Linked DNA regions of Kluyveromyces lactis. The protein of the gene in region 1 interacts with the protein of each later gene in a pairwise test. Links are inferred from orthologs where the notes say so. Each region holds a gene or a part of one and is shown in the gene's direction. Other genes may lie near its edges.

Region 1 (8,114 bases):
AGTCGATGGACCATATAAAGCAATGATACTGCCAACTTCCAAAGAAGAAGGTAAAGGTATCAAGAAGAGATATGCTGTGTTCAACGAAGATGGTTCATTGGCTGAACTAAAAGGTTTCGAACTAAAAAGAAGAGGTGAACTACAATTAATCAAAAATTTCCAGAGTGATATTTTCAAGTTATTCCTGGAAGGAACAACCTTAGAGTCATGTTACGCTGCAGTAGCAACAGTTGCTAATAGATGGCTTGATGTATTAGATTCTAAGGGTGCAATGCTCGAAACTGAAGATCTTATTGAACTGATTTGTGAGAATAAAAGTATGTCAAAAACATTAAAGGAGTATCAGGGACAAAAGTCAACTTCCATTACCACCGCAAGAAGGCTCGGTGAATTTTTGGGGGAAGCAATGGTTAAAGACGCAGGCTTACAGTGTAAGTTTATTATCAGTTCCAAACCACATAATGCACCGGTGACAGAAAGGGCTATTCCTGTTGCTATATTTTCTTCCGATCTTCATGTTAAGCGCACATTTTTAAGGAGATGGTTATTGGACTCAAGTCTCAATGACTTTGATCCAAGGGCTATTATCGATTGGGACTATTATAGAGAAAGATTGGCTTCTGTTGTTCAAAAAATTATCACAATACCGGCAGCATTACAAAACATTAAAAACCCTGTACCCCGTGTTGAACATCCTGATTGGTTAAGAAAGAAAATTGCTGTTAGTGAAGATAAATTCAAACAGACTTCCTTGAATCGTTTCTTCAAATCTACCAAAGCTCCACCTGAAGTCAAAGATATAGAAGACTCTTTTGATGAACATTCCGCGAATAAATCACGTATCGCTAAGGTCACGTACAAGAGAAAGAGCAAAAGACGTAATGGGGATACAGCACTAGAAGAAGAGTCTTTGCTGCTACCCTCTGAAATGCCTCCGATGTTAGATGATTATGTGGGCTGGTTACAATATCAAAAAACCAAATGGAAGATCCAGCATATTGATCGAAAGAAAAGAGAAAAGCTATTTGGTAAAACTTCACGAGCATCTGATCGGTCTGCTTTGGGCAATTTGATAAGAAAGCACGTTGAATCATATGCAGATAAAAGCTGGGAAATTTTACAATGTAAACCGTCCATCGATTTAGGTGTCGTAGAAATTTATGCTTTAATCGATAGGAAAATCCAATTGCTGAAAGTAAACATTCCCAAAACTGTACTCATGAACTTCAAGACGGAGAATTTCCCCTCGGGAGGGATTGAAAACTGTATCGTCGAAAAGTCCAACGCGGAACTGCCTAACGTGAAAGGCATCAACAATGAAAGCAGTAGTCAATTGTTTAAACTGACAATGTCAGAAGATACCTATTTCAACGAAGTTAATAAAGCATCAAGCGTATTGAACAACGAGAATGTTTTGGGAATATACGAGAGCTCAATTTCTTCGAATGAAAGAGTCATAATGCGGCTAGGGACGTGTATTCAATTCAGCTCTGAAAAAATGGGTGCGCTAGGAAAAGGTTTACAGAACGGTTTTCATATGAAGAATTTACATCCTGTTGAAGCAGATAGATATCTCCAAAGGTTTGACCTTGATATTGCCTACCTTCTACATTTTGTAACAGATATCGGCTATGAATTCTATTTCTTGTATAAAGCATGGGAAGATGTGGTAGAAATATTTGTGCTGAAACCAAGCACTCATGCTCAAGAAGTTTCTAATAAAGCTATAGAATCTCTTTACAACGAGATATACGAGAAAAAGTTCGAAAAGCTCGATAAATACTATGACTTAATCAAGATAAACAAGAACGTTTCGTTTAACGTGAATGATTATACTGAACTAAAGCGTTTACTGAAGGACCTTTCAAAGATGCTGCAAAATATTAAGGAAGAAAAAGGATCTCACACAATGGTGATTCTACAATCTCCATATACCCATAGAGTTGCTAAATTGTTGCAGCCTTTGAATGCCTTCCCTGTTGTTGAAATAGCTACTGCTGAAACACATTTGCCAGCTTTGAACTGGCAGGGACAATTAATGAGGAAAGCGGTCAATCACATATTGTCTCTTGGTTCTTGGATCTCAAATTTGATTACTCTCTCAAAATACAGCAACATTCCAATATGTAACCTCAAAGTCGATAATCTCGGATACATTATCGATTTGATGTACGCTCGCCAGTTGAAAAAGAACAACATCGTTCTATGGTGGAATGATAAATCGCCGTTGCCTGACCACGGTGGCGTTGAAAGAGATTTTGACCCACGGAAAGCGGAGCTCATGACTGATTTGGTGTTCCCTATTATGAATAACCCTGATATCTATGATGACGTTATCTTCGAAATTAGTGTCTATAACTCTGTTGTGAACACTGTTTTGAGCAGCACCATGTTGAACGAGGCTGAAGGTACAGACCTTGCCCAAAATTCGACATCTAAGGAAGAATCCTTCGGTTTTGTTGAAGATTCTTTCTCTTCTTCGGCCTTGTCAGTGCTTCGCGCACTGTTGAAAGAGCTTTGGGATGATGCCTTAGGTGATAATATCACGGCTGACTCATTAGTACACGCATTTATAGGATGGGTGTATAACCCTGACGCGAAATTATTCGATTATGCTTTGAGATATCACATCCATACTCTCACTCAAAAGGCCGTGTTACAGTTGATCAATGAATTTAAGCTGGCAGGATCATCTCTCATCTTCGCAGACAGAAACAAACTGTTAATCAAAACTCAGAAGCGTTCCGTTGAGAATTCTTACGCCTATGGGCAGTATCTCATGAAAGCGATCAGATCTAAACCAATGTTTGCCTATCTAGACTTGAAAATTGATAGATATTGGGATGTCCTGATTTGGATGGATAAGTATAATTATGGTGGTAGAGCATGTCTACAGATTGAAGATAAAGAAGTTCAGAGTTTCCAGGCTTATTCTCATTGGCATATAAAGGATTTCTTACCTGCAATTTATCAGCAAGAGTTTGATGATTGGTTAGTAGTCATACTGGATAGTATGGTTAAGACAAAGGAAGCCTATCATGAGCGAAATGCATCCACACAAAGATTAACCCAATTACCAAAGAATACACTGGCTGATAGTGACGTAGATAGTCAAACTGACTCTCTAGGCGGTTTTACCCATAATTTTTCAAAAGCTCTCATCAAAAGAGCAGAGAAACTTTACAAGAACCAACAGGAATATATTCTTGATCCTAACTTCGGCAAGGATTATCTATCTCCCACAATTCCTGGGTCGCATCTAGTTGTGAAAAATCCGCTTCTTGAGTTGGTCAAATACTTATCACATATTTTATCACTTTCCAGTAATCATTTATTAGAAGGAAGGGCGCTAAGGAAAGAACTCCTAAAGACATTTGAAATACGCGAATTCGACAGATTAGCTGAATTCAAGGATCCAAGTACATCTTTTGTGATCCCTAGCTTCATATGTGAGCATTGTTCTTATATATCAGATATTGATATTTGCAGAGAAAGTATGGAACGAGTCTTCATATGCCAGAGCTGCAACAGATCCTTGAATAAAAATCTCATTGAAGAGCATGTGATCGAACGACTTCAAGCCCAAGTTGCATCGTTTATTACCCAAGATGTTAAGTGCAATAAATGTCATAAGATCAAAGAGGATGCAATGTCACCTTATTGTCCATGTTCAGGAAAATGGGAACTTGCCGTATCTAAGGAATCTTTCATGGCACAGTTACAAATTTTCAAGAACTTGGCGGAAAGCTTTGACTTTAGAACATTGAAAGAAACTTTGAATGATTTCTTATAGGTTCAAGTCCCTGGCATCTGTTGTATTATCTTTTAGTCTGCTGATGTGTTTACATTTAACATTTATGAGTGTTTATGTGTTAAAATAGATCTGAAAATAAAAAATATATATACACATAAAGGAAATTGTTCTGAACTTAGCATGGTTGAATTCTTCCCACCTGAATGAAGACGCACTATGTGTTATTTACTGCGAATCAAGTGACCCAGAATGGTACGACCTGATGTTAGATATAGAGAAGAACAACTAGATTTTTTGGAAGCGTTTGTCGATGCCGATCCAAAACTGAGCCCGCCAATCTTGTTCATAGAAGGGCCGCATGGAAGTGGTAAGACACATACCCTCAAGAAGTTTTTTGCTTGCAATGAAGAAATCATGAACATTTTACTACCAGCGAAAGATCTGATATATAGCAAATCCACCTGTCAGCGGTTGGCTACATGTCTGCGTCAATTGCTACTGAAACAATTTCCTAGTGTGGAAACCACTGATCTTGATCCATTTGAAGCCGAGGACGTATATCTTTTGCAGAAATTTATCAATAAATTGTTTATCCGATTTAATCACTTGGTAGAACGCGTTAACCTTTATGTTATACTCGATGGGCTGGATGATAATTCACAGGTGAACTTGGAAACACCTACGCAACTCATGGCATTACCTGGATCTATTCTTCCACAAGCGATGATTCAACTTCGGTTAATAATCTCGTTCTCCAAATCCTCATTCTTGTCCAATTACTCAACGTTCAAGGTTCCCACGATCTTCTTCCCCAAATATAAACCACTGGAGATTGAATATATTGTATCACAAACACCAGGTTTCTCGGATGACCCGCTGTTATTGGAAAAAATGGATGAGATAGGATGCGGAAATACAGAACAATTCAGGAGTGAAATCTTCGAAAAATATATCCATTTCCTGATAGAATCATTAATTGTATATACAGGTTATGACCCCACTGCACTGATAGACATAATGAGAATTAAATGGAGGTGCTTTGTACGATCTTTAAATCAAGAGAACATTAAAAATACAGTACAGTTATACAAATCTAACCTGGAGCTATTCAATAAACCTAACGAAAGACTAATACCACAAACCAGCCGTTCGGATCAAAATTCACTAAGTGGTACCGGGTCTGTTGGTTATTCAAGCCATTCTCTTTGTTTCATGGCAAAATATCTTCTAATAGCCGCATATTTGGCATCATATTTGAATCATCGGTACGACTCTAAAGTCTTCTCCAAGAAGAGTCATCTAAGGGGGGGTAGATCATCTTATGGGAGAAGAAGCAAACCAGCGAATAACCCGAGATACCTTCAACCATCAGGCTTTTCTCTTGAGAGAATGCTGGCAATTTTCCAATCGATATACCCAGTCAGAGTTTCGAAGGAATTGTCTCCAGATTTCTTTCAAAGAGATGTTCATATGAAAGCAAATGTGGAAGTCTACGAAAACGTGTCCGAATTGATTACTTCTCAACTTCTTACCGGTCTGAACATGCACAAATTGGGGTATCTTCACGAAAGACTTAAGTTTAAAGTTAACGTCACTTGGGATTACATATTACTAGTGGCTGGCAGTGTTGATTTTGATATTTCAGAATATTTCAGTGATGTTGTGGAATAAACTCGGCATTTGTAGTAGTTATATGATTGTTGCATGCCGTTCTTTTTTTTTCGATCTCATTTTACTCTATGGAATGCTTCTTCAAATTTAGGTATTTTTTATAGACATTGAAATTGATACGTAGAGAGAAACAACCATAGATTCAGATATTTGACATACCAGCAAGCAGAAAGCAGCAGCTTTCATTGAGTATGAATGTAAATAAGGGATCATCTGATCAAAATGATAGATCTGTAATTACCAAATCTAAGGATAAGCTTCAGGTCAAAAAGACTGACTTCAACGCAGATAGCTATGACGATCACTTCGAGGAATCAGACTACCAGGACATTTCTTGCAGCGACGACAGTAGCGATAATGAAGAAGAAATAGAAGATTTCGTACGAAGAGGTCAAACCGAAACCGATGAAATCTTTGATGGAAATTCCTCAGAGATTTCAGAATCTGACAGCGCTGTTGCTGATGATTCAGTATCAGAAGAAGAAATAAATGGTAGTAACGTACAAATAGAAGCCTTCAACATGGAAGAAGAACTGAAAAATGGGACCGTAGACAAGGTAGGGAATGCTACGGGAAAAACTATAAATGATGATTTTGAAAATGAGGACCAATGGATCCAAGACTTTTCTTCGAAGGAGTCAATTAAAAGGGCAAGAGAAGCTCATGAAAATAGCCAAACTCTACAACGGAAGAAGAGGGCTAGGATGTTATACAGACTAGAAGAAGTTCTCGAACAATTGTACTATTTTGTACCGAGAGGGAAGACAATTCAAGAAGCATTGATTTTGCTTCAACAACTACGGAAAAGTTTACCAAAAGAACATAAGGAACGTACAAAATACATTGCGAACGCAATACAGATCATTCTAACTTTAGTAAATGTGCTGGAACAGAAGGGTATAGACAATCCCATGCAATTGCAGAAAGAAGGAATAAGGGAGTTATATGATGAAGAAAATCTCATGGGATCAACAATTGACGACGTTGAAAGTAAAAACTGGGTCTTCAAATGGTTTGCAGACTTTGAAACGGCTCATGAATCATTTTCAAACTACGAAATGCAAACCTGGAAGGAAAAATACTTCAACAGTAGTGTTGTGGTAAAGAGAAAATGTGACACTGATGAAACTGACCATTGGTATCATGTTGATTGTATTTACTTTATGTAATTAAGCGTACCAGATGACTAACGCCAAAAAAAATTGCCAGATCTGAGTACAACCGCTCTAGGTTACCAATCCGTGGTTTGGTCTTGCATCATAGTTTCATTATTGCTCCCCGAATCGTCTTCCGTGTAACCATGAAGTTTTCCAGCTATCTCTCTTGACAAACTTTCTATCTTTTCTAACGTTAATCTATCAGATGAAGAATCAATTGATGAAATGTTTTTGTGTAAACTCATTAGCACCAACCTAAATTTGTTCCGTATCTTGAATATACTTTTCTCATATATGGCCACATTTTCCTGATTATTATCCATCTGGATTTCTTCAATAAGGTCTTTTATTACCTTCGCATTCTTCTGTAAAGCTGCGTCGTCGAATTTTTGTATCAGCACGTCACTTATCCCATATATGATTCCTAAAAGTTGAAACCTTTGAAACCCCACCTGCAACCCATACTGTTTACCTTCAAGTAGATTATGTTTAAGATTTTCATTCCTGCCTTCCTCGTACCCTTCTTGATAGAACTCTTGTTCCAAATTCAACAACTCATCAAAATCCATGTCTTGAATTTGTCAGGTCTATCTAATTGCAATGGAGCTCCGATATCCGTCTCGAATATGAACTTTATTGGAACCATTCAAAATTGTGGCAGACAACCCAAGACCTGACTTGCACGCTTCCTCAAAATGGGTCATGAACTTGTCGAAGTTTTCATTTTGTTCACCTGTCTTTCTTACTAATATGGGAAACAAAAAACCCTGAAACCAGTACACAAAGTGATGTATAAGAATGGACATTGGATAAACACACGACTACTATTACAACTGTAAATGTAAATGTAACGTGAGCTAAGTTCACCGCACTCCTAACAATCCTCAACGTGAAAAATATTATTTCAAATAAAAGGCTTCAGTGATAAAATTATATAAACAGTTATGTGCATACCAAAAGCTAAACTATTAATTTAACGTAGTGCCACTGATGACTTCCTTACCAGTTTTCTTGATCTTTTCAAGAACAGTATCATATGGCAAAGAAGTGTAAACATCAACGGTTTGTTTTTCCAACGAGATTTCAGTTTTGGAAACTTCTGGTTCTAGCTTGCTCAAAGCTCTTTCAACAGCGCTTGAGCAACCACTGCAGGACATTTGAACGTTGAATTGGTAATGATTAGTTGATGACATTGTATGTTAGAATTGATTGTGTCAGCTCTCACGTAGACTATACTCAATTTGTATAATGTGTGCTTGACAGTAGTCAACCGAAAAAAAAAGGAAATGTAGCTTGAATTGGACCCAGATGAGGATTAACCGATGGACGACTCTTGTTTTGACATTGTACCTTTATTTGAGTTGAGCATATTTATATAATCGAAACTAGAACTGGAAAAAAAAAAAAACACACTGGTAAGCACTGGAAAGGATGGGAAGTGCAGAGAGGGAAAGCAAGCATGTTTCTTAGTCAGAATGATGTTGAAAGGTATCATAATGCAGTTTTTGGCGGCTTTGGCTTTATGAATGCTA
Region 2 (8,831 bases), about 1.0 Mb from region 1:
GCCGTACCTTCACAACGACACTAACATCATCATGATTCAAAACGGACTCGGTGTCGCTGAAGTGTTGAAGGAACAAGTCTTCACAGGAAGCGACTTACAATCAAATTTGTTCCAAGGTGTCATTGGCCATGGTATTTTCCAAGATAAAGAGATTAAGAATCAGTACAATCATGCAGGGTTTGTTGATTGCAAGGTCTCGAAATTACCCGAAAATGATGAAAATATTATAGAAACGTTAGACCAATTGAATGAATGGAAGCAAAATGATCTGGTTAAAGCTTTGCTAACATTGGACCAATCGTTGGCTGTCATCCATATGACGTACCAGGAACTTTTGTTGGGACAATTAGAGAAGTTCCTAGTCAATTGCTGTATCAACTCTGTCACTTCAATTATAGACTGCATGAATGGAGAATTAGCCAATTGTTCAGAACCAATCTTCACTTCGATCATCGAAGAGGCTCTTCATGTATTCCAAATCGCATATAAACCGTTATTCGATTATCCAGAGACCTTCAGAAATACTGAAAGTGGGAATCTACCAGAACTAGACGTCACTGGCAGATTGAATTTAGAAAGAACACTGAAAAATACCATTTATATGGGATGTATAGTGAATGGAAGTAACTCATCTTCAATGAGACAGGACGTCCTACATTTAAGAGAAACAGAAATTGATTTTATTAACGGCTACATCGTGACGTTGTGCAAAAAATTCTCACTACCAGAATCTGACGCTAAAGTCAACAAAACCATACAGCAACTTGTGAAATTGAGATTGAAATTGAACACGTCGAGAAATATATAGACATTAAGAAAATGTGTATCATATATATCATATAGTGTAAAAATAAACCTTCATGAGCTGATCACTTTCCCTTTCTTGCGCTCTCAGTATTTTGACATCTTTATTTGACAATAAATTCTTTTTCTTTTTTACATTTATTACCCCGGACAGTTACCATTTGGAGTGTAAATTTCAATTGAAAAACCCACTTTAACAGCAGCAAAATAAGGTACGACATTATTTTGCGACTTTCACTTGCAATATATTAGGTTTATATACCTGAACATGTATGTTTATATATTTAAGATTATCCAAAAATTGCCGCAAAGATCATCCATATCTCGAGAATCTCGTAAACGATACAAAAGTCCGCTCATCATATTGATAACCATTGCTCGCACATCAAAAGAAATCAAATTCAACTTTAACACATTCAGTATTCCGCCATCTTTTCCTTACAGTAATTTTTTTTTTTGGCAGCATTTTCTGAGTTTTTTTTCTACTTGATTATTATTGATTGTTTTTTTCCATTTGCACTAAGGTGAAAACGACGAAAATTGGAAAAGTGAAAGAAAAAAAAAAGCGAAATTGAAATTCAATAAATAGTTAAACATCGTTATTGTCGAGAAACAGAACGACAGTGGTGCTTTACAGGGTACTAGTGACTATTTAACGGGTGTAGATCGGATTGAATCTGTTGTTATAGGTTTTGAGTCAGAACAGACGAAACCTGCTTGCTGAATCAGAGACAGTATGGATTCTGATACTGCGATGACAGGCCATGACGATAATAATGGTGAAATTGGAATTGGTGAGAATGGTGTTTCCAGACAAGAGAAGGATAGTTCTGTAGTAGATAAAAAGGACAAGAATGGTATTTCTAGTGTGCAAGCGGGTTTAGAAAGTCAACGAGGTACAATTCGAGAGCTTGAGAAAAAAGTTTCTGAAATTGAGTCTATTTTACCTGAAACTGACGAAATAATTCAAAAGAGTATTGAGTCAGTTGTGGTGACTTTGAAGAACTTATCGCATAACCAGCAAGTTTTGGAAACGAAATTCGAGGACCTTTTAAAGAACCAGGTGAATTCAGATGCGGCCATAAACGATCTATCCGTGGAGATCATCAAGATCAACAGGTTGTTATCCGATAGGTTAACGATGTCCGCGACATCAGGTGCATCGTCAGGGACGATGGGAACTGCTGCGTATGGATCACCCGCATATATGTCATCTGCAAGCGTCTCTCCTCCTCATAGGGGACCTGGTAGACCACCTAAGAAGAACACTTCGATATTGTCCAATGGCGATAAAAAGGCGAAATTGCCATTCCCAAGCGATCATATATCAAAATCAAAACGTCTTTTCCTGGACCCAAGTAAAGAAAAGACGGAGTCCAACTCAGGTTATGATGCAGATGGGGTTGGCAACAGTCGATCTCGTAGTTCTGCTAACGTCAAGCAAGAGACTCCTCAGGAACCAAAGAAACGTAGAGGTAGACCTTCAAAGAAAAGCACATGGGAAGCTCAACTCACTTCTTCACAAAGAAAGACAAATGCTGCAGATAATGATACCAAGGAAAGGCAAAGCTCTAGCTCTAGACGCAAATCTCAAAGATTGAAAAGTGGTTCGCGCCAATATGATGAACAATCGGATCTTTCATCATCGTTTTCCGGTATGTCTGATAATGAAGGGCAAGATGATGAGGGCGATGTCACAGACGATCAGAAACAGTTGGCTAATGATATGCATGACTCTCGTTCCAGAAAACAGAAGGAGCTCGAAATGAAAAGAGATGAAAGAGAAAGGATGCTAGTCACCATGAAATATAGCGATCGTAACGTTACCAGGAATTTCATGGAACTCAACAAAGATCTTTTCATGGCCATGAAACAAGAAGAACGGAAGAAAAGAATGACAGCGGTGCCTTTCAGCGTTCCAGTACCGTTGGGTAAATATCAACTTTCAAGTAAACATTTGGAAGAGTTATCAAAAGTACCTTTCTCCCTGTCGCAAACAGCGGAGAATTCTTCTGGTGCTCAATCACCTTCGTCTAATCCTCCAGACTCTGCTCGCTCTGTGACACCACAAACAATTATATCAGCATATAACAATTTGGAACAACCAGGCAATGTAGGCTCAGTTTCTACGGCAAGTGCGGATGATGTTAACGGTCAAAAATCGTCGTTACTGAATTCTGAGCACAAGGATCTGAACGGCTCTGTGAAAAGAACATCTTCGGACATCGGTGATCGATCTCAAATGTCCAACGAAGCAGAGGGACCACGTAAGGTCAGAATCTTGTCTATCTTGAATGATGATGCATCTACTGGTGTAAAAACAGAAGAGAATGGCTCGGCTAGACCTCATCTGTTAGACATGCCAAATTCGACTCCTCAAGGATCTGCAGACGCATTACCAAGTTCTCAATTATCTGTTGATTCGACAGAAAACTCGCAGGATAACTTTTCCGTCACCACTTTACAATCTGGTGGTGAATCACCAAATAAGAAAAGGCATCTAACATTGCATGATCGTCGAAAGATGAGCAGGATGATTCCGATGTTACCAGAAAAGAAAGATAAAAGGGGAAGACCAAGCTCTAACAATCAATCCCAAGAAAATGCAGCGTCTTTGTTAATGTCATCCCCTGTGGAACTTTACTGCCGTGAAGGTTTTTTTTATAGAAAAGGTTCTACAATTCCAATCACAGCGGGAGAGTATTTGGATTTGAAGTTCAGACACAAAGAAGACGAATTGATTAAATTAACAATGCATGAAGAAGATTACGCCGAGTTAACAAGACAGGATAGAATCAACGCGTATTTCCTTAAACCAGACGTTGAGATTGAAACCTCAATGGCTTGTCAAGTTTTGTCCAATGTCATATTAACCGAGAGATACGTCAATTCATTAGAATATTTCCTGATGGAATTCCGTTGGGAGAATAGATTGGTAAGTTTAGGTCTAAAGCTAAGAGAATCTAAGAGAACTTGGCAAAGACGGAAAGCCTTATTTGCATTATTTGAGTTTTGGAGAGACAAGTCGAAAGATAAGAGAGGTTTCCACAATTATACATTGTTGCATGCAATCAAAGAAATGGAAAATTACAGAGTCTTCATCAATAGGTCGGTTTCATGGTTTTACAACCACATTACCCTTTTAAAAATGATTCTTTTTGATTTATGTGATAATACGAATACTCATTGGAGAGAATGGATGTTCGCCAGAGGCACTGAACTACCGCTTGTTGGTAAAAATGGCGTCGATGTCATGAATATTAATAGAGAAATCGATAATATTTTGGTTCTTGATTTCCTAGAAGATGGTAGCAAAAATTCAAACAAGAAATCAAGTTCTATTCCATACAAAGAAAACAGTGAAGGCCCTCTAGAACAGCCTTATGTTACGAATGATGTTCCCGCAGACAAGGGAACAAAGGAATTACACACTGAGCATGTCCAACAACAGTCAGAAACCCCAGTTCCGGAACTGGCTGGAAATAGAACTGAAGAAAATACAAACCATGCTACTGGGGCGGTAGCTGTAAATCAAGATCAGCACTTACCTTCTTTACCGAAAGATTCAGAAGATGTGAACTCTACGCAATGATATTTATGCACATAGATCATAATGGTTCCTTTTTGGGCGCTGTTTTTCATCAAACCTATTTTAACGGACATTTTATCACTTTATGGAACAAATAGTAAGGTATGTACTCTATAAATAAACTGACAATTATTCTATTTAGATAATATTGTTCTCATACTCAAAAACATTGTGACATGGCCGATTGGATGAAGTTTAAAGTTGTATTTTTCAACAGTTGGGCTTTCAAGTAAGGATTGTACTTCATAGTATGTTATAATATCTTCAAGTATAATTTTTTCGGAAAAGACATTACAATAATCTACCAAAAAAAAAATCTAGTAAATAATGAAACATGAGCATGAGATGAGGTATGCTGGACACTCAAATGGAAACAAAAGTTTCTGTTGAATCACTTGTAAATACTCCTTCCAAATTTGCAAAGCAAAATAGCTATTTGAAAGGATGTTAGTTGATTTAAACGTTCCTTGGCCACAGAAGGATTTTGCAACACCGCCTTCCACGAAGGAGATTAAAACGCTGCACAAGACTCTAGCGACATTGCATACACTAGGGTACACTCACATAGCTTTAAATTTCACAGTAAACCAACAGGATAAATTCCCAAAATCAATCAATGATATGAATCCTATCGATCTATCGCATTTTGATGAACTAGTGAAATCTACGGGATTAAAGCTATATACAAGAATCACAATTATTATAGATGACCTTTCAAAAGGCCAGCCGTTGACAAAGATATCGCAAGCTTTCGATATTGTGGCAGCCCTTCCAGTCAGTGAAAAGGCTGTTACTCTCGTAACGTCTAGCTTGGATGTTGATGTGCTATCATTTTACTACGACAAAAGGCTTCCTACACTTTTGAAACATCACATGATGGGGGGTTGCATTAAGAGAGGAGTCAAAGTAGAAATTGTTTATGCTAACGCTCTTCGAGATATCAGAACACGTAGGCAGTTCGTATCTAACGTGAAGAGTGTGATCAGAACTTGCAGGAACAGAGGAATCGTGGTCAGTAGTGGAGCAACCAGCCCACTAGAATGTCGTAATGTCATTGGAGTTACAAGCATTTTGAACTTTATTGGGCTTCCGAATGACAAATCTCGTAAATCCATGGGCGAGCTTGCTAGTTTGGTACTTCTAAATGGTAGATTAAGAAATAAGAGCTATAAGCAAGTCATTTGTATTGGTAACGAAGATGTAGTCAATGAAGATTTTACACAGAATTCATCGTTCAAAATAGTCAAAAGGAAAAACCCAGATACACTGGAAAGTGATGACTCGAAAAGAACAAAAAGCTGAATTACCATGAACTTAATTTTCATACTGCACTTCTACTGTTGAATCTCTCGAAGCATTCAATAGTACCGATAATACGATATATAATAGATTTTATATTTATATAAGGAAAATAGTACAATAAGCATTAAGCAAAAGATGGATACAAGGTAAATTTAGGAAATTATGGGTAAGAGTAATGATATCGGTGATTTCAATCCACTTTGAGTTCATCTTTAACATGTCCAATTTTACGTTTAGTTTCCAAAGTCAAACTTACTATCAAGTTCTAAACCCAAAGTTATTTTTCATTCTAATATCTGTAAAAAGAGCAGGTTACTGTTACCCGCAACACATACATGGTGTAAATCCGATCAAAAGCTCAGCGGCTATTGAAAAGAGTATAAAAGTATCCAGCTTGGAGACTTTACGATTTTCTTCTTCGAATCATAAACCGCCTTACATAGAAACGGTCTATTATATAAAAAACACAGACAGTACGTAAGGCAGTAACTTGGGAAAACAAGTGCCACACAAAGTTAAAATGGGCGAGGTGAAGAGTTACTTACGAAAATGGAGACGCTCTTCCATTCTTAAAAGAAGCAGTTTGAAGGATAAACGGAAAGAAAATTGGGAACAACGTATAGAGAAGTCCTTGAGCGAATGCGATGACATTAAAAACTTATTGGCTGGTCGTCCAACGACACCTGATATTGCAAGAACGAATAATAGTACATTCCTTTCCAAGCGCTCTAGGGCTTTTGTTACAGAACCGTTATCGAACCAAGAATTGGATAAAATCAAATATATGAATTTTGCAATGGAGAGAGATTATAGAGCAGGTACTAGGCCAGTGATACCGAGAATGGATTCAACCAACAGACGAAAATTGAGCGTAAATCTCACCCCGACATCGATTTCAGCAGATGACTCCGAGAATAATGCGATAGTGAAAGACTTTTCTGAGTTCATTGAAATTTCTTTCAATAGTTTGAGCATTTCCGATGAATACACACCCCAACCAAGCTTTTCCAAAGAGTCCGAGGAACCTAGAACCGCCAGTTCTAAGAGTCTAGAAAGTCTATGGAGTAAAAATGTGAAATAGTCGTAATTGGTAACCATGTTGGGTCAACTAATGACTTATCTAACCCACGAAAAAAAGCCGTAGAAACTTGAGAAAAAATAACGGCCGCCAAAAGAAAAAAAGAAGACATGAAACCCAAGAAAAAAGAAAAAACCGGATTGGCGATGGTGAATTAGAGAGGTTAGAAAACATTAATTTTCGATCAACGAAACGTATCTGCATTCCTGAAGAGGGTGCGAAAATGAAAAATCGTGTTTTTACCTAATATAGGAATTCCTAAATTAACTGAATCCAGTAGTAGTTAACCATAGATGCGAAAAATGTCAGAAAATTGTGAAACCTAGGAATGCATGAAACATTACCACTGTGGACGCGGCCGATATATGTATATATAAACGGATAAACATGATCCAGGGTACAAAGGCCATGATTTGAATCATCAGAAACCAGGCATTGCCGAATAAAACAACCAACAGATCTGGGCCAATACTTATGATGAACGTACCTCAGATCAAGTCGATCTGGCTCGATGAAGACGATGAAACAGAAAAATTATATGGTTTACAAGCTCACCAGCTTCTGGATTCTGACGATGATGATGAATTGGGCGTTGTAATGATCAATAGTGATAAACCTGTCTTAAGTAATAGGAAAAACATTAATCTTCCTCCATTGCCGCCAAATGCGTATGATAAACAATCTGGAAAGAAATCTTTCAAGAAGAAGAAGAACAGCCTCTTAAAACTGTTTCAAAATAAATCAAGTAAAGAAGAACCTCCTAAGTTAAAAATTTCTGTCCCATTTGGATTTAATCACATCTCACATGCAGATTCTAAGGCAGGATTTGAAATGCCTACTGCAGATTCACCACCACCATCTAACAGTCACTTACAGGATATACCGGAAAATACCAAATTTCCGACAAACTCAACAATCAATTCCCCAACGCAAATGACTAAAGCTTTCGTAACAGATGCAATTCCATATGCTAAACACCATCTGGTTTCTAGAGGGTCATCTACAAAACGTTCTTCGGTTGGATCCAGTACGTACTCGAACCAAAGAGTGACATCAACTTCAACAATGGCTACCTCCTTGCTAAACGATTCGCATATGCGTTCCATTTCAAAATTAACTACCCTAGAGAAGACACATTTGAAGCATAAATATTCTCAATCAGATGCCAGTGAAGTAGATGTCGATTTCCTAAAAAACTATCAGTTCCCAACTTTGCTAGAAGAACAATCAATCCTCCAGGTATCAACACCTGAAACGGGAGACAAGAAAATAGACAAATTCCAATGGGAAACACCAGTAAATTCTGCGGATCTTTTAGAGACTATGCTTTTGGATGACTTGAAATCAGTACCAAAAAAATCAATTACACCAAAGCACTCATTGAAAAGAAACTCTGATCCAATTCTGACACCAATTTTAAGGCCATCAGAATACTTAGACTCTCCAAGAACCAGAAGGTCAGTTGATGATGTTTTATTATGCTATCTACAGCCTAGTGATGCTGGATCGTCATTGGATGAAAGCTCTAGTGAGTTTTCCTACGCTAGAAATTCAAACATTTACTATAAATCTATTCTATGATCTTCACCCGTGGCCAGGGCCATTCCATTCACTTTCACAATTGTTCTCAAGAAAATATACCCATCTTTCACTCGTTATTGCATTTACTGAAATCAGCTCTCTTTTTGATACAGATTAACCCTTCGTCGTTCATTTATTAATAATTAATCCCCAATCTGCATGTGTACAGATATACACTCATTGTACGTCTTTCAATTGGCGCCATCCAACGTTATTTTCGTTTCCAGTAAACTGTTCTTTCCAAATTAGCAATTGTACAGATAGTTTTCTTTTGTATTAACTCTGATATAAGATCATTCCCATAGCAATTATAAAGTTCTTAAGCTGAATTTGACAGAGTCCCTAGTGCGTCAAGTAGACCATTAAGAGTACGTCGAAGTTCTAGTAGTTGATAAAGTACCGGCATCGAAGCTTTGAAAGATAATTGACATTGTTTCAAAGAGCTTGGGATTGAAAGGGCACCTCCGAACATATATA
Region 3 (8,645 bases), on another chromosome or scaffold:
TGGTGGATCATTAGAGAAATGCTACTAGGTTTCTGAAAACATCGAACAGTGAACCGTTTCCTACTGTACTGAAAAGAAAGTTTTGGGTAACGAGCAAGCAAGCAGGAAGCTGTATGTCGTAAACTGATGGATGAACTAGAAAGAAGATATTCCTCTACTGGATTTTTTAGAGGGTCAAAGGCACCGGAAAAACTAAAAACAACCAAGCACTGTCCATAAAGAAAGGAAAAGTACTCAGATGATTCCTTAACTAAGCCTAAAATTGATCCGGCGTACCGCAGCTTGGTCTTTATCATCAGACATTGGTGGTGTGTGTTGGTGGTATGCTAGAGCTGGAGCTTCCTAAGTTTTGTTGGTTTGTTACTACTTCCTTTCTTTTTCTCTTCTTGCTCATTACTTTTCGGTTGCTATCATCTCTTTGAAAGGGACAAATGACGTATCGGAAAAACTTATTTGCGCTCCGGAAAAACTTTTTCACGTTTTTTTTTTACAGGAAGAGGGACAAGTTTCTCCGGTTGTACTTTTGCGTAGAACTCTATTCTCGGCTTATTCCTCCTTGTAGCAATTACCAGCTTCGCTGAGACTAATGGCCGAGATACCGTTTAATGAATGTGCTATCTATTGATACAAACCTCGTGCGCACGTGACTTGTGCACTTTTCCGGTCCTTTTTTCCCTCACATAAGGTGAGGCCTTTTTGGCCCTTTTCCAGTGCACTAAAAGTGGAACTCCAGATGGTAAGACTCCAGATGGGGACCTCGAGAAGGGGACCTCGAGAAGGGGACCTCGAGAAGGGGACCTCGAGAAGGGGACCTCCAGACGAAGAACTCCAGACGAGGAACTCCAGATTGATCTCGAGATGAAAACTCCAGACAGAGAGGCCTCAAAAAACGGGACTCCAGTTTCGCTATTGTACGTTGCGGCATATATTCACGCATATTCGGATTAATTAAGTCAATCGGGTATTTCAAGCAAACAAAGCTATTCCACTAAAGTGAGCGAAAAAAGAGGGAAATATATTACTTTAAAACTAACTAACTAGGTGAGTAAATACGGTATTTCTATAGTACATGCACGCGCTCACGGAATACTGTCGAAAAGAATTTGGGGGGAAAAGTAATAGTGGTTTGCAAATATTAGTGATATGATTATTGTTATTATTATAATTATTATCGGTGTTAGTATTATCTCTTTATCAAAGTAGTAGGTAGAACAGTGCTGGAGGAGAGACGTTGGGGTTAATCAACGTGTGTTGGTATCTAATAATAAAGGATGAGAAAGAAAAGAATAGAAAAATAAGAGTGATATATTAAAACGTTAAAAATTGATGAAGGGAAGCACTTTTTATGAGTAAGGTTCTAGTTTTCATCGTATGCAGATTCTTCCACTTCAGATGATTCTGAAATGAAAGTAATTTCGCACCACCCGAAACCTTTCGATTCCTGGTCTTTAATAGTTAATTCGAAGTCGTCGAAAAACTGGTAGATATACGGTTTGGTACCAGCGACACCAGAAACGATGTTCTTGACAAAAGTTGGAATCTCAGCCATGACGTCGACTCTTTCCACCAGGTTATCCAATTTACCCTTGACGATAGTGTTGAATGGATCAGCAGATTCAACGTCATCGTCTTTGATGTCGGCATTGATACCGTTAAAGGAGACAGAGATTTCCTTTGGTACAGGCCATCCGACAGAATCGACTTCAGGGTCGATATATTCAGCATCGTTATCTACTGTCACGGATAAAATGTTCTTGGTGTCACATACAATCCCGATATTTACCGTAGTGTTGGCGTATGATTTAGGCGTGGTGAATTCCATAAGCACGGCAGTGTAGTCCTCTGATTGGAAGTTTAAAAAGGTCCAAGATTTGGCAGCATGATGTGGTTTCATACCTTGCATAGCGAAAACGAACATGGAATAATGTTTCTTTTCTTCTGAAAACTGTAAATCGATCTTGACATTAGTTTCCTCATTCTTAGCAGCAATCTTACCAGATATGTGGTTTCTTGGCCAGAAAACATGTCTCATACTACCCCAAGGTTGAGTAACATCGTCACCGTAGTAAGTGGATGGATCTTCACCGACTTTGACACCGTCAACTGCTCTACGGATGGTGAAATCCACTTCGACGTTTTCGTCCACGGTAGACTTGAATTGCACTTCGGTACCTTCTTCGTTCATTACAATAGATAGATTGTCAGCGTAGAAATTAGTTCCCTCTATTCTGAAATTCTCTAACTTCACCGATGTCCAAATTTGATCATCTGTATTTTCCTTGTGGTAAATCCTGAAAGTAAACTGAGCAGTAGTATGCAATCCAATGATGTTGGAATGGATCACTTGAGCGAACCCAGTGTATCCAGTTTCCAGATCAGTAAAGTAAAAAGTTGATGTCTCAACGTTCGTGTAGTCTGGATTCCTCCACTCGAAATCCTTCGTACTAGTAACATGGAATGGCTGCTTACCCTTAACTCTTTCAGTACATGGATGAATGTACTCTTGGCCATATTCTGGCTCAGCAATCCCTGTGACGGCACTAATACCACCTTGAATCCACTTCAACATTTCGATAGTGAATAAATTTGTAGGCTTAACTTTCGATGCAAACTCGAGATTTCTTACAGTAAAGCTATGCTTGATACTGTGTGCGTAGATGTGCGATGTTCAAATGACAAAGAAATAACTCGCTATTTTCTATGACTTACAGCAATCTAATAAATCAAACAAACCGATGAGAAGGTTTGAGACTGAACTTACTCTGTAATTCACTTATTAGAATCAATGAAATAGAAAAGAAATAGAACGCAAACCCGTACAATAACTATAATCAATGACTACTGGACTGGTTCTGATGCGCTGATAACGACTGTTTTTGGTATTTGTCTCGCCCCCCTCGTTTACTGTTTGTTGTTTGTTGTTCTCTAAGTTTCGTTTCTTAAGTGAGATGAGTTTTGTTGATTTTTTTTCTTTTTCGTATGGGCGAAACGAGCTAGTCACGTGATCTGATGTTTTACGAGGAGCTTTGACCCTATTAGCACCAATAAAAAGCATTTGGGTTCCGTACCATCACTTGGTGGAATAGATCTCAGATGGGGGTCAGTAAACAATGCTGATGGGCCCTTGTAAGCACGGCATCAGTGCTTGGCAAATAATAGCAACTGTTACCCGGATAATACACGCATTTCCAAAATGTCAACAAACCAAAATCACCGAGAAACACGTAAGAAACTGATACATGATCCATCGATGAAGCAGGAAAAATACCCTATTAGCGCTCTATCTCTGGTCCATACCTAGTTTATACCTGCTTGAATCAATAGGACGAGCTGCGGTAGCCTTTTTACCAGTTTTTAATTGGATAAAATGCTGAATAAGCTTAATGCTAATAAGAAGAATAAGAAGAAAGATGGACAGAGCACCTTGAATATGTTCTTCAAAGTGAAGAATAAGCCCGCATTAGAATCATCTTCAAGTTTTAATTCACACTTCACTGAAAAAACTGTTTCTCCTCCAGTGAAAGCATTGAGAACACAGTCTGTGCTTTCGTCTTTGCATTCCCAAGGGTCGTTTGAAGAAGAATCAAATGATGATTTCTACAGTCTGCTACGAGAAAAGAAACCAGTGAAAAACTTTAAGCCATCATCTCAAACGTTCCTATCATCGTCACAGTTTCAATGTCAGTCCGGTAGTTCCTTTTCGTCCCAAACTTCAACAGTATCGGGTTACTTTTCTTCCACAACTGCAACTGCAACTGCAACTGCAACTGCAACTGAATCTAGTTGGCAAAAACCTAAGCTGGAAAGAACATTATCAGGAGTCAAGAGAACGTATTCTGATGTATCAGATGGTTCACAAAGTTCTTCATCTTCAAATGCGTTATCTCTTTCCTCAGTAAAGCGCGTAAAGCCGATTCCAAGACAATCCATCGTTTCTCATACCAGTTCCAAGAGCTCCAAATCTAGCAGCATTAACGGAAGAATTGAACTAACTGCAGAGCAGAGGAAAGTAATAGAATATGTGTGCAAAGATAGATTGAATGTGTTCTATACAGGTAGCGCAGGTACAGGTAAGTCCGTTATATTGAGAACCATGATCTCGACGCTTAATGCAAAATATGGGAAAGATGCTGTAGCGGTCACTGCTTCCACAGGTCTTGCGGCGGTTAATATTGGAGGTATTACAATTAACAAATTCTCTGGTGTAGGTATTGGCCAAGGTGATGCTAATAGACTTATCAATATGGTCAAAAGAAACAAGACTAGTCTTAACAGATGGAAGAGAACTAAAGTTTTGATTGTGGATGAAATTTCAATGATTGATGGCTACTTCCTTGATAAACTGGATGCAATTGGAAGAGGTTTATTGAATAGAACTAAACCTTTTGGTGGTATTCAGTTGGTCTTCACAGGTGATTTTTTCCAGCTTCCACCTGTTCCAGATAGAGATTCAAATAAGGCTGGTCCAATCTTTTGCTTTGAGAGTAACGTATGGAAATATGCTATCCACAAAACCATACTATTACAACAGGTGTTCAGGCAGACTGATAATGAATTGATTGATCTTTTGAACGGTATTAGAATGGGTAACACATCTGGCGACACCATTAAACTAATTAAAAAATTTGAAGCACCAGTGGAATACGACGATGGCATTGAACCAACCGAACTTTACCCAACGAGACGTGAAGTGGAACTGTCCAATAAACGTAGGTTAGAGAGGTTGCCAGGTTATGAAATCCTTTACAAGGCAGTAGATTTTATCCCTCCTAATATCAATTCTAATATTCTTAACAACGTTATGGCAGAAAAAGAAATCAAACTGAAGGAGGATGCCCAAGTAATGATGTTGAAAAACATCGATGATACCTTAGTCAATGGTTCCTTAGGAAGAGTCCTCTTTTTCTGTACTTCGGCATTGTTCTTGGAAGCATCCAAGATATTCCCTGATCTAAGCGATCCGGAAGTTGTACAAGATATGAGATGCGTTTGCAGAGCCATTGGTGTGCCACCATCTGGTAGATCTTCGGACTTACAACGGGATATCAATCTTAGACCAACAAACAGGCAAGAAGTTCTTAACTTCGTATTGGATAAAGCAAGTAAAATCGTAAATGGGCCCGGTATTCTATCGACAATCATGTTCCCTGTTGTGAAATTCATAGACAAACAAGACATCAGAGGATACCAAATTAAACTAGTTGAACCAGAAGAATTCTCTGTCGGAGAAACTGAGAAGGATTCTGCTGTCAGGAAACAATTACCTTTAATGCTATGTTGGGCAATTTCCATCCACAAATCCCAGGGTCAAACTATCGATAGACTAAAAGTAGACCTGAAACGGACCTTTGAATCAGGTCAAGTTTATGTGGCATTATCAAGAGCTGTCTCGAAGGATAGACTACAAATAACAAACTTTGATCCTCATAAAATTAAGGTTAATGAAAAGGTAAAGGACTTTTACCAAAACTTGCATAAACTAAAGACATGAATAGCTTAACAACCTCAAAAAAAAATTTAGAGTATGAATGAGCGCACATTATTTCATGTCATGGAGGAGATGTCCCAGTTGGGGCTGTCCTTAAAAGCTAAACTTAAATTATTCATCAAATCGCCGAACATTCATGGCATATACGCATAATGATAAATAAAGCATATATATATCAAAAAAGAAAAGGCATAAGGCAGTTATTTGTTGATATACTGTAACGATACACATTCGGGTCCTATTATATCGATGATAGGGGTCTGTGATGTTTTTTTTTATCTTTTGTTTATTCAATGTCAGTTAACAAGCCAAATAATCTAAAATATGTAATGAATAAACAAAGTAAATCAAATTGTCCGATGAGGCTGAGACTCTATCTGCACTCAAAACAAGAAAGAAATCCGAGAGACTATGCTTGTGGCCCTGAAGCGATGAAATTTCGTTGGAGAAGGATATTTAGCATCAAGGTGCTTGGGATTGTAACTACGTTGCTGTTTATATCTTTTCTATTACCAAGCGGAGCAGTACCAAATTCAACTGTTCCACATTTTGAAGGTAAAAGAGCACTAATTTACTCTCCATTTTATAGACTCGCAAGCTCGCTTAACCTCGGAAAATGGCTTTCGTTGGCTCTACATGCTACTAATAAGTATCATAAGATTGGTTTGGACTGGCCAACGCTACCCCTAGAGCAGAAATGCCGTTTTTATTTCGAATCAACATTGGAAATAAACCCAACATGGAATAATGATCATATTAAAGACTTCCATAACGACAATAATTTGGATGACCCCTTGGCAGAGCTTATGTTAGAACGGATAAGGATGTATGATTCTTGTTTCATCAGTGGAGGTTTATCCACATCCAAGGTGTTCAAGAGATCAGTCGTGAAGCCAAACGATCTTGAATCGAGATTATTCCCTTTCCTCTCAAAGAAGACACCATTCAGACATTTGTGGCCTAAAATGATACATGTCAATCCTTGGACGTTGATTCCTTCTTTTAGTAACCCATTGTTAGAAGGTAAAGACACCTGGAAAATGGATGATAATTATTCATTCTTCTATAATTGGAATAATTTTGCAGAGGGGAAGGGAATTGTACTGACATTGGGGCTGAGGCACGGTGACCAGTTCAAGAAGTTACTTCTCACTTTGGAGAATTTAAATAATACACTTCCAATACAAGTTATTCACAACGGATCTGAGCTTACTGAAGCCTTCATTTACGACATTCATTCATTCTTAAACGCAAAAAAATTATCACAGCAGGTTTATTTTGTCAATATTGAACCGTTAATCGATGCTTCATTCGTTGGTCAATACGTCCATTATTTCATAAATAAATGGATGGCATTATTGTTCAATACCTTTTCTGAATGTATTCTACTGGATGCGGACTCTGTGTCATTTGCCAGTCTTGAATCCTATTTTGATTTCAAAGGTTATCAGGACACTGGCATGCTGTTATTCAGAGACAGAAATATTATAGGCGAGAAAACTTTTATTTATTGTACAGATACATTAAAGAAGCTTTTCCCGTCTGTAGAAGAAACCCATTTCATGAGCCATAGATCTACTTTCCCCCTCGAACTTGTGGAGAATGATAATATCAATATCGATACTCTATCTATGGAAGAGCAGATATACTATAAGTTCTTCCATAACTTACAACTACATCACATAGATAGTGGATTAGTTGTAGTTGATCGAGTTAAAAAATTATCTAGTCTACTCATCTCAACTATGATGAATATCGATGGTAAGCTTCAAAGATGCGTTTACGGCGATAAAGAAATATTTTGGCTTGGCCAATTGCTCGCCGGAGAGAAATATTCTATATACCCAACTGAAGGTTCCATCATGGGTACCGTTAAAAACAAGCCTGATGATACTTTTGAAATATGTGGCACCCAAATGGCTCACGTCAGCACAGAAGGTACTTTACTATGGTCCAACGGTGGGTTGAAGAAGTGTAAGGTACAAGACTGTGCCGTGGCTGATTTCGACCACGACCCTGACTATTTCCAAGAGAAATACGGCAACCCTGTTGCCTTACAGCAAATGTATGATTCTTCATTATCTATCAGTGGTTATATCACGCCGAATGTTGGGCAATATCCCTGGGAAAAAATCAAGGAGTGTCATCAGTACACTTATTGTGCCACAGCAAAAGAAAACGTAGGAACCATAGTCAAATTCGATACCGATACTATTTCACGTTTACAATCTGTTTCGGATATCTGGAATTCAAACGTCAAACTTGATGATAACATGGAAATATAGTAGTGTCTTCATCTCCAACGCCATTAACTTGATCTTTTTTTTTCCTGTTCTTACCAACCCCCCTGGCCTTTTGATATTTTGATCATAGTGTAACTGTCATGGTGTAGTAGAGGTATTCATTAAAACACTTCCTCTGTCACCATCCTGTACTTACGTAGTTTAACTTAAACTTTTAAACAGATGTCTAAAGTGACATCAGCCGTATTATGTACCCTATACCCGCACAACTTGCTCCAGAATCATGCGAAGATAGCTCACGAAGTTTCCCCGAGGTGTAATCTGCTTTATAGACGCAGTATCACTCTCGGACTCGAGTGTTCTTGTAGTATCCGTCCACTGACACTGACGCTTCGATATTCTTCGTATTTTGTGATCATCGAATAGGAGACTTTGACGAAATTCTTGGTTGAAATGATTCCCCATTCAAAGGGTTTAAAGACAACTTTGATCTTGATTTAGGAGGTGCGAATCGCAGTATTGCTCAGCGAGTTCAAGGGTCAACCAACCATTTACTAATTGCTATGTACAACCAGTACCAGCAGCAGCCCCAGCAGCCGCAGCAATTTGGTGGGCAACAGCAATTCAATGCCCAACCTCAGTCAACTGGTTATGGGAATTTTTATCAACAACAGGTCCCTACTCAGGGCCAGCAGCAGCAATTCAGTGGATTTCAAACCTTTAGCAACGCTGGCGCTTTGAATCAACAGCCTACAGGTTTCAGTCAACAAACACAGGCGCAGCCACAACAGCCACAGCAACAACAACCACAATCACAACCACAACAAGGCATGCAACAACCATTCGGTAATCAGCAACAACAAATGCCACTGACCCAACAATTGACGGGATTCAATTCTATGATGCCGCAAACA
Region 4 (7,808 bases), on another chromosome or scaffold:
GAAGGTATGAAGATTTCAGTTTATCAGGAATTTTCTTAAAGCCATCAGCAATAAAACTACCAGTCGTTGAAGCTAACGTTGAATCAAATTCTTTTTCATTCAAAGCTATTTGGTTATCCCGAATAATTCCATTTTGTTCAATCTGTTGGTATAACTTCCACATTGAGTACGGCAAAAATGGTGTATAATCAGTAGTAATATCTTTTGATTTTTCTGAGACAATGCCCTTGAGAATAGAGAAATCTTCTTCGTCTTTCAAAGCAAGCTGGAACTTATCGAGAGAAAGCTGCTTGGATTTATTCAAGTCAAAGTCATCATAAGGATATACTGGGGTTGGGAATTCTGATGCAATAGGTTTGTATTTCCCTTCATACTGTAGTAATTCCTTGGACCTTTCATCAGGTAAAGATGCAGCGCTTTCGGGCAGGTCTTCCTCCGGTGTTGTTATCACGGAAGACTGTTTCTTCGACTCATCTGAAATAATATCTTCCGATTCATATCCAGATGACTCCGGAGAGTTTTCACCGTTTGAGCCAACATTGAGTGAATCCACTGTATCTTCTCTGGTAGAAATTTCATCATTTAACAAATGCGACATATGTTCCACCTTAGGTTTCTTTTTACGTTGATGATCAGGAGATTCTTCAGTGTATAAATGACGTTTGCCTAGATCAGCTTTCCTATCTCTTTTCAGCTTTTTTGTTTTAGACGCAGGTCCGTATAGACTGAAAATATCAAATTCTGCGGGTTTGGCCTTTATCGTTGTCTTCTTTTGTGATTCCTCACGCTTCTTCTTCTCATCGTCCAGTTTCTTCTGCCTTTCTACAACTTCCGGGTAGTTAGCAGGATTTAGCGTATCAAATATAATTGGACCTACAAGCCTTCTCAAGATATCACGCTTAATGATATTATGCAAATCTTTGAGAATTTGTTTTGTGGAGGCTTCTAATAGCTCTTCCGTGCTTGAGTACTCTATCTTTCGAGGTTTATTGATATCTCTTTGGTTAGTGATATTTGATTGAAGTCTCCTCTTTGGTTCAATGAAAGTAAATTCTATTTGTATGGGAGAGTGAGTCCTATGCGAATTTATGACCAAGGCACCTGATTCGTACTCTAAACATGCTTTTGCATTTTCCAGATCATGAAAAACAATATATACGCCAGTGTAGTGATCAATAATTTTGGCCCAATTGTACTTACGAAGTTGATATCTGAAATCTGCTGCATTGAACCTATGATAAAACGTAATCTTTGCAGGAACAAACAAAACTGGTCTGTTGTTCACAACTTGAGTTAAATCGTATGGCACTCCTCTTATTACTTGAGGTTTCTGCCCGGATGATTTCTCTGCAATGGCCCGTTTCGCTTTATTCACTTCTGTCACTCTGGCTGCGTTCTGTTTGATTAGTTTGTCCTTTATTGAATTTAACACTGTATTTTGGTTTAAAATGACATTGAACTTGATACCTGATACTGTGTAAGGTGCGTCTTTGAATTTCTCTGATGCCTTATAAGCAGCTTTATATGGAGCATCAGGTTGAGAAACTGGACCAGTGAATTTTATTAGATAGACGTACAATGGCAATGCACTATTTGGATCCATGAACTGTTCAAAATGCGCTATTTCACCAAATGATTTAAAGTAGTTTTTGATTATTGCTTCAGATAATGCGGCTGCTATTGGTTGTTGGTTAGATGCAGAAGGGTATACTATGATTTCTTTTGGAGGTTCAGGACCAATGTAGAAAGAATCATACGGAATTCGCGAGTTGCGTACCAATGCACTTCTAAGCTTTCTATATCTCTTTTTCGCAGAAATGGACCCAGAGACCGCATCCCCATTCATAGGACGTATTCTCGGATCCACCGAAGTTTGTTCAGGCTGCCTGGCCATGAGTATTGGTTTTTGCTTATCCGATGCAATCAACTCCGTTGTTGTCACATATCCATGCTCAGGAATCTTCTCAGATTTCCATTTCTTGAAGCTGGATTCATTTCGTAGTCGTTTACTTACAATGTCGTAATAATGATATTTTGTATTAAACTCATCGCGATCGTATTTCGCACTCACTACTGGACGCGTTGCGAAGGGATTACGAGGAATCTCGCTGATACCACGCGACTGCGACCGTATTGGACGAGATTCGTTCTCATTATTCCTAAGTTGAGACCCAAACCCCTCGCGGGAGTATCTTCGGTTCCCTGATCCATTCCGTTGGAAGCCCTTGTACCTATTCCCATTTTCTTGATATGCATATCGTCCGGTTTGGTACCGATCATTATTCCCATGAAAATGAGAGTACTGTCTATTATAGTACCCACTCATGAGAACTAAAATATACACACACGCTGGAATAGCAACTTATGCTAGATGAAATACTAGAAGTATTGCCAAAACTGAACTTATAGATGGAGAAGCGAATAATGATACTTTTGATTAATATTCAATTTCATTATTTACCATATTTTGTTTCAATATTGGAGAAAATCGAGAAAATCAGAAAAAGATCAAAAAGCTACATAAAGACTGTTTTTAATATTATGTTAAAAATGGTCCATGGAGATGAGATGAGATATATGTCTTTTCCGGGCCAGTGTAATACAACAAGTGAGTAGATGATCCTATTTTAGTCACTTTAGAGTGCTAAGAATCCGTGGAAATAATTTAAGATGTCTACGCAGCAAGTACGAACGTGTGTAACCGATTTATTAGGGGTCAAAAATGATTCTAATGTTGACTGGCAAGACCAACGGTTAAAGAAAGTGGCTTCTACTACAGCAACATTATACAACGTTTCAGTATCGAAAGTGATGCTGAAGAATTCAGAGGAACTTGCTCGGTGCCATATATGTGCACTGATTGCGTTTCAGAAACTAGCTGAGAAGTATGACAATGACCTACCATATTCTCAGGAGAAGATCCCGCTTCCACCAGACCAAGTATCCAAACTTGTGAATATATTTAAGAGAAACATATGGCCTCATTCGCCGCAAAAGGATACCGAAGGACAATTGCTGAAGTTTGATGATACTGCATCACCATCGGTTAGAAAGTCAGCGGTTAAAAATGCAAGATTCACAGGGATAGATCCGAAGTCGTTACAAGAACAGCTATTCCAGACTCCGTCGAAATCAAGAACTAAAAGTGGTATCCAGCCCTTGAAGAATGTTGATCTTTCACCTAGCAAAGGGAGTAGGTCAAGTGTCCGGAGGAAATTAGTGTTTGAAGCTGATACAGAAAATGGCCTTCCGTTGCCCATATTAGCAACCCCGAAGAATAAGACTGATATGATCAATATACCACAAGTGTTTGGATCAGTTGAGGATGATCCTGAATCTCCATTAAGACAGTCACCCTTTCGTGACTCCCCTTCTAAATACACGCCTTCACCAAGAAAGAAAAGAGGTAAGTATAACGAATGGAACATGCTATACAAAAAATACTATAGACCGTCTACCGCTGAACTGGTGACTCTGTGCAATGAATTTGAACTTCCTGAAGAAGTAACAGCTACCATAATTTCCGAATTCAATAACAACGCTACTTACCTAGCGTATCCTACACAGTTGGTTTGTGGTCTGGTACTTCTTTGCTCGTTCGTTGTCTTCAACCAACAGAGAAATCAGGACAGTACAATCGATAACAAGCTAATGAAGAAGATGGCGGCACAAATGAGAACAACAAATGATGAAGATATCATGGAAGCTATCAAGATCACAAAAGAACTAATAGACGGTGAGAAATGGTACCGAGAACTCCGTGTCAAGTTCGATTATTACGATGGATCGGATTTCGATAACGCTATCGCCGTCAGAATAGGCAGCATGTTACAAGACGAATATGAAGTCGTATCAGAAGAGCAATACTCAAACTGGAAACGAAGAATTATGGTCGACCTCAGTCTAAGAGATGGCACATGAATGGTTTCCTCCGATACCTTTCTTCTCACCGTCCCCATCTTCGCATTTATCATTCAATACGTTTTCATTACCTTTCTAATGAATTTTTCACGTTGACGTTTACCGAAGGGAACGGCAAGATGAAAAAAAAGAAGATAACTAAACATAGAGAGCGCAGATGAGATGAATTGAAGAGAGACATTACCGTCTGTCAGAACTCTGGAGATCGGATTACTCTTCGAATAATCAACTGCGAAGTACGTACCGAGTAACTGGTGAAATGACTGTTGAGTTGAAGCGAAACCTACTCGAATCATCTGTTGAAGACATTGATCTTGAATCCAAGAAACAGAGGGTCGACAATGACGTCGATCAGAACACAAGTAGTGTAGACGAAGATATTGATTATGAAGAAGACTATGATGAAGTGAACGATGTACCTATAGATTCAGGCAACTCTTTATTCAATAACAACGCTAAATGGCAAGAAACTATCTCCAAAGTTGTTAAGTCGGTGGTCTCAATTCATTTCTCGCAAGTCGCACCTTTCGATTCAGAAGCTGCCTTGGTGTCGGAAGCAACAGGTTTCATTGTTGATGCAAAACTCGGTATCATCTTAACAAACAGACACGTTGTGGGTCCAGGTCCATTCATCGGATACGCCATTTTCGACAATCACGAAGAGTGTGATGTCATCCCTATCTATCGCGACCCAGTTCATGATTTTGGGTTCTTGAAGTTTGATCCATCGAAGTTGAAATATATCGAGGTCACTGCACTAGAGTTGAAACCATCTTTGGCCAAGGTTGGTTCTGAAATCCGTGTTGTTGGTAACGATGCTGGTGAAAAATTGAGTATCTTGTCAGGGTTCATCAGTAGACTTGACAGAAATGCACCAGACTATGGTGAGCTAACGTATAATGATTTTAATACTGAATATATTCAAGCTGCTGCTGCTGCATCAGGTGGTTCTTCTGGTTCTCCAGTTATTACTGTAGAGGGGTATGCGGTCGCTTTACAGGCCGGTGGCTCTTCGGAGGCTTCTACAGATTTCTTTTTGCCTCTTGATCGAGTCGTCAGAGCTCTACAATGCGTACAAACGGATAAACCAATCACCAGAGGTACTATCCAAACTCAGTGGGTATTGAAACCATTCGATGAATGTAGAAGACTTGGATTAAGTGAAGATCGTGAGAAGGAAGCTCGTAAGAGGTTCCCGGGTAAAACTGGTTTGCTGGTGGCTGAGGCTATTCTCAGAGAGGGACCAGCTTATAATAAAGTTCAAGAGGGTGACACATTAATTTCTATTAATGGCACACCAATATGTTCATTTATTCAAGTTGATAACATTCTAGATAGCAGTGTAGGAGATGAGATAATCATTGTGGTTCAAAGGGGTTCCAAAGATATTTCCTTCAGATGCACTGTTGGTGACCTGCATATTATTACTCCTTCACGTTATGTCGAGGTGTGTGGTGCTAATTTCCATGAGCTTTCGTACCAAATGGCTAGATGCTATGCGTTACCTGTAAAAGGCGTTTTCGTGGCAAGTGCCACTGGATCGTTCGATTTGGATCCAAAGGAGAAAACTGGATGGGTTATTGATTTTGTAGATAATAAAGAAACACCAACTCTAGACGACTTTATAGAAGTCATGAAAACAATTCCTGACGAAAAAAGAGTAATCGTGAAATTCCATAACTTGACAGATGTTCAAACACAAAGAATAACCAGTGTTTATATTGACCGTCATTGGTGCAGTGAGTTCCGAATCTATACTAGAAATGACAAAACAGGTATTTGGGATTATGAAAAGATCACTGAGAAATTACCACCACTTCCAATAAAACCACAGAAAGCTAAGATTTTAGATCTACCGATTAATGATAATAAAAAACTTGCAAAAATGTCACATAGTCTATGTGTTGTACATTCGGTTATTGCTATCACCATGGACTCCATGGAACCCGAACCCACAAACGGATGTGGTTTAGTACTCGATGCTGAGAAGGGATATGTTATTGTTTCACGTAGTTTTGTTCCTCATGACTGTTTGAACACGTTTGTCTCGTTCGCTGAATCCATTCTTGTACCTGCTAAAGTTGTATTCTTACATCCTACCCAAAATTACGCTATTGTTCAATATGATCCATCTTTAGTTGACGCCCCAGTATGCACACCAGTGCTAGCTAATGAAAGGCTTGAAAGAGGAGACGAAACTAATTTCATTGGTTACATGTACTCAAACACTTTAATCAGTTCCAAGACTAAAGTCAATGGCATCTCTTCTCTGAGTGTTCCTAACGACATCATTCCTAGGTATAGAGCAACCAATCTAGAAGTCATCTCCATTGATTCGAATATAAGCACCAAATGTAAATCAGGAATATTAGCGGCAGATGATGGTACAGTGAGAGCAATCTGGTTATCCTGCATGGGTAACAAGGAAAAACTGTATTTAATGGGTTTAGACGTAGTGGATATCAAAGAAGTTGTAGATATTCTCAGGGCTGGTAAGAATCCTAAGGTTTCTATTGTGGACGCAGGATTTGATTCCATCTCATTATTGCAGGCTAGAATCAGAGGTGTTCCTGAAGAATGGATTAAGATGATGGAAGAAGAATCAGAAAACAGATTACAATTCATCAGTGTCACCAGAAACTCCTATACAACAATAAAGGAAAGGCTCGAGCCTGGTGATATTATCTTATCAGTTAATGGGAAACTGGTAAAAAGAATGAGGGATATTGGTGGTGTCGTGGGGACTGATGACGATACGGATATCGAATCTGAGTTGTTATTCAAGGTTGTAAGAGATGCGAAGGTTATCGATTTGAAAATAAAAACTGTACAAATTGAAGAAACCACTAGAATTGTCGTATTCGCAGGTTGCGTACTACAAGCTCCTCATCATGCCGTGCGTCAAGTAAAAACGTCTATTCCTAGTGAAGTATATGCGGTTTCTCGTGGTACATCTTCTTTGGCGTTACAGTACGGAATAGAAGTGACCAACTTTATCACACACGTCAATGACCAATCAACACCTGATTTGGATACATTCTTGAAGGTTGTTAAAGAAATCCCAGATAATACATACTGCAAGTTACGCTTAATGACATTTGACGATGTTCCGTTTGCCATTTCCTTAAAGACAAACTATCACTACTTCCCAACGGTAGAATTAAGAAAGAATCCAAAAACAGGTAGTTGGATCGAGAATGATATCTCGGAGACTTAATTTGACTATATATATGATTAATCATTTTTTACCGTTGTTTGCAAATTGTATATAGGTATTTATTAATGATAATTATCCATTATAGTAACCCGCTGATTTTTCATGACATGCTTTACTGAAAATCATGGTAAGAAATGGTGTGTCATTCATTATGGGGATGCCATTGTTATATGTACAGGATTGAAATCGAAACGATATCTTATTTTAATTGCCTTTCATCTCTTAATGGTATGGAAGCAATCTCTTTAAACGATGCATATGTGTGGAGTCTGCTAATGACCTGCCAGATAATGATTTAAGGGAGTTCCTACTCCATCCAGCATTACCATGATTTCTTCCAGCCTTGCCCCTCTTGAAGCTATTGGCTGTTTTTCTCCATCTTTTTGCGGCACCTTTGTGTGTTTTCATCAAGTTTCTGGTGAGGATGAGCGATGAAACATTAGTTTTAGATCCCAGAAGTCCAGTTCTAGCGGAAAAGTTCATCATCGAACCAAAGATAGAAGATAGCATATTTGAAGTAGTTCGCTGGTGGGGTAAATCCTGCTATAGTCCGTTAACAATGAAGTACTTGAATTGTAGCTCACTTTCACTCAGTACCTTGCCATAATCTCACAAGAAACTTTTATTACATACACTTCTTTCAGAGAAAACAAAAAATGTCATTTATGTT

What was found.
Region 2: the proteins of ORC5 (region 1) and SUM1 interact in a two-hybrid assay, tested with the Saccharomyces cerevisiae proteins (2 studies listed by BioGRID). The link is inferred for Kluyveromyces lactis from reciprocal best matches to the Saccharomyces cerevisiae genes ORC5 and SUM1.
Region 3: the proteins of ORC5 (region 1) and RRM3 interact in a two-hybrid assay, tested with the Saccharomyces cerevisiae proteins (2 studies listed by BioGRID). The link is inferred for Kluyveromyces lactis from reciprocal best matches to the Saccharomyces cerevisiae genes ORC5 and RRM3.
Region 4: the proteins of ORC5 (region 1) and ORC6 interact in binary tests that used the Saccharomyces cerevisiae proteins (3 or more experiments, as listed by UniProt). The link is inferred for Kluyveromyces lactis from reciprocal best matches to the Saccharomyces cerevisiae genes ORC5 and ORC6.

Annotation. Positions count from the first base shown.
Region 1 is NC_006039.1:232,039-240,152, forward strand, and holds ORC5 (origin recognition complex subunit 5), read left to right. Parts: upstream 1-4,003; coding exon 4,004-5,425; downstream 5,426-8,114. Other genes in the region: POL2 (DNA polymerase epsilon catalytic subunit), read left to right, coding at 1-3,793; U5 snRNP complex subunit LIN1, read left to right, coding at 5,617-6,594; ribosome biosynthesis protein LTO1, read right to left, coding at 6,657-7,151; copper metallochaperone ATX1, read right to left, coding at 7,551-7,775. UniProt on the Saccharomyces cerevisiae protein: Component of the origin recognition complex (ORC) that binds origins of replication. It has a role in both chromosomal replication and mating type transcriptional silencing. Binds to the ARS consensus sequence (ACS) of origins of replication.
Region 2 is NC_006039.1:1,282,611-1,291,441, forward strand, and holds SUM1 (Sum1p), read left to right. Parts: upstream 1-1,540; coding exon 1,541-4,396; downstream 4,397-8,831. Other genes in the region: 2-dehydropantoate 2-reductase PAN5, read left to right, coding at 1-808; RNA-binding RNA processing protein RPP1, read left to right, coding at 4,838-5,695; KLLA0_C14740g (uncharacterized protein), read left to right, coding at 6,216-6,776; GIC2 (Gic2p), read left to right, coding at 7,248-8,354; VMA22 (Vma22p), read right to left, coding at 8,674-8,831. UniProt on the Saccharomyces cerevisiae protein: DNA-binding protein that specifically binds the regulatory region of middle sporulation genes (MSE). Required for the repression of middle sporulation genes during vegetative growth. Represses expression via the recruitment of histone deacetylase HST1.
Region 3 is NC_006040.1:1,145,077-1,153,721, forward strand, and holds RRM3 (DNA helicase), read left to right. Parts: upstream 1-3,367; coding exon 3,368-5,491; downstream 5,492-8,645. Other genes in the region: SVF1 (Svf1p), read right to left, coding at 1,358-2,569; KLLA0_D13376g (alpha-mannosyltransferase), read left to right, coding at 5,782-7,773; actin cytoskeleton-regulatory complex protein PAN1, read left to right, coding at 8,295-8,645. UniProt on the Saccharomyces cerevisiae protein: 5' to 3' DNA replicative helicase recruited to paused replisomes to promote fork progression throughout nonhistone protein-DNA complexes, naturally occurring impediments that are encountered in each S phase where replication forks pauses.
Region 4 is NC_006042.1:2,242,779-2,250,586, reverse strand, and holds ORC6 (origin recognition complex subunit 6), read left to right. Parts: upstream 1-2,670; coding exon 2,671-3,921; downstream 3,922-7,808. Other genes in the region: histone methyltransferase SET1, read right to left, coding at 1-2,326; NMA111 (Nma111p), read left to right, coding at 4,181-7,138; MRP35 (mitochondrial 54S ribosomal protein bL35m), read right to left, coding at 7,361-7,648.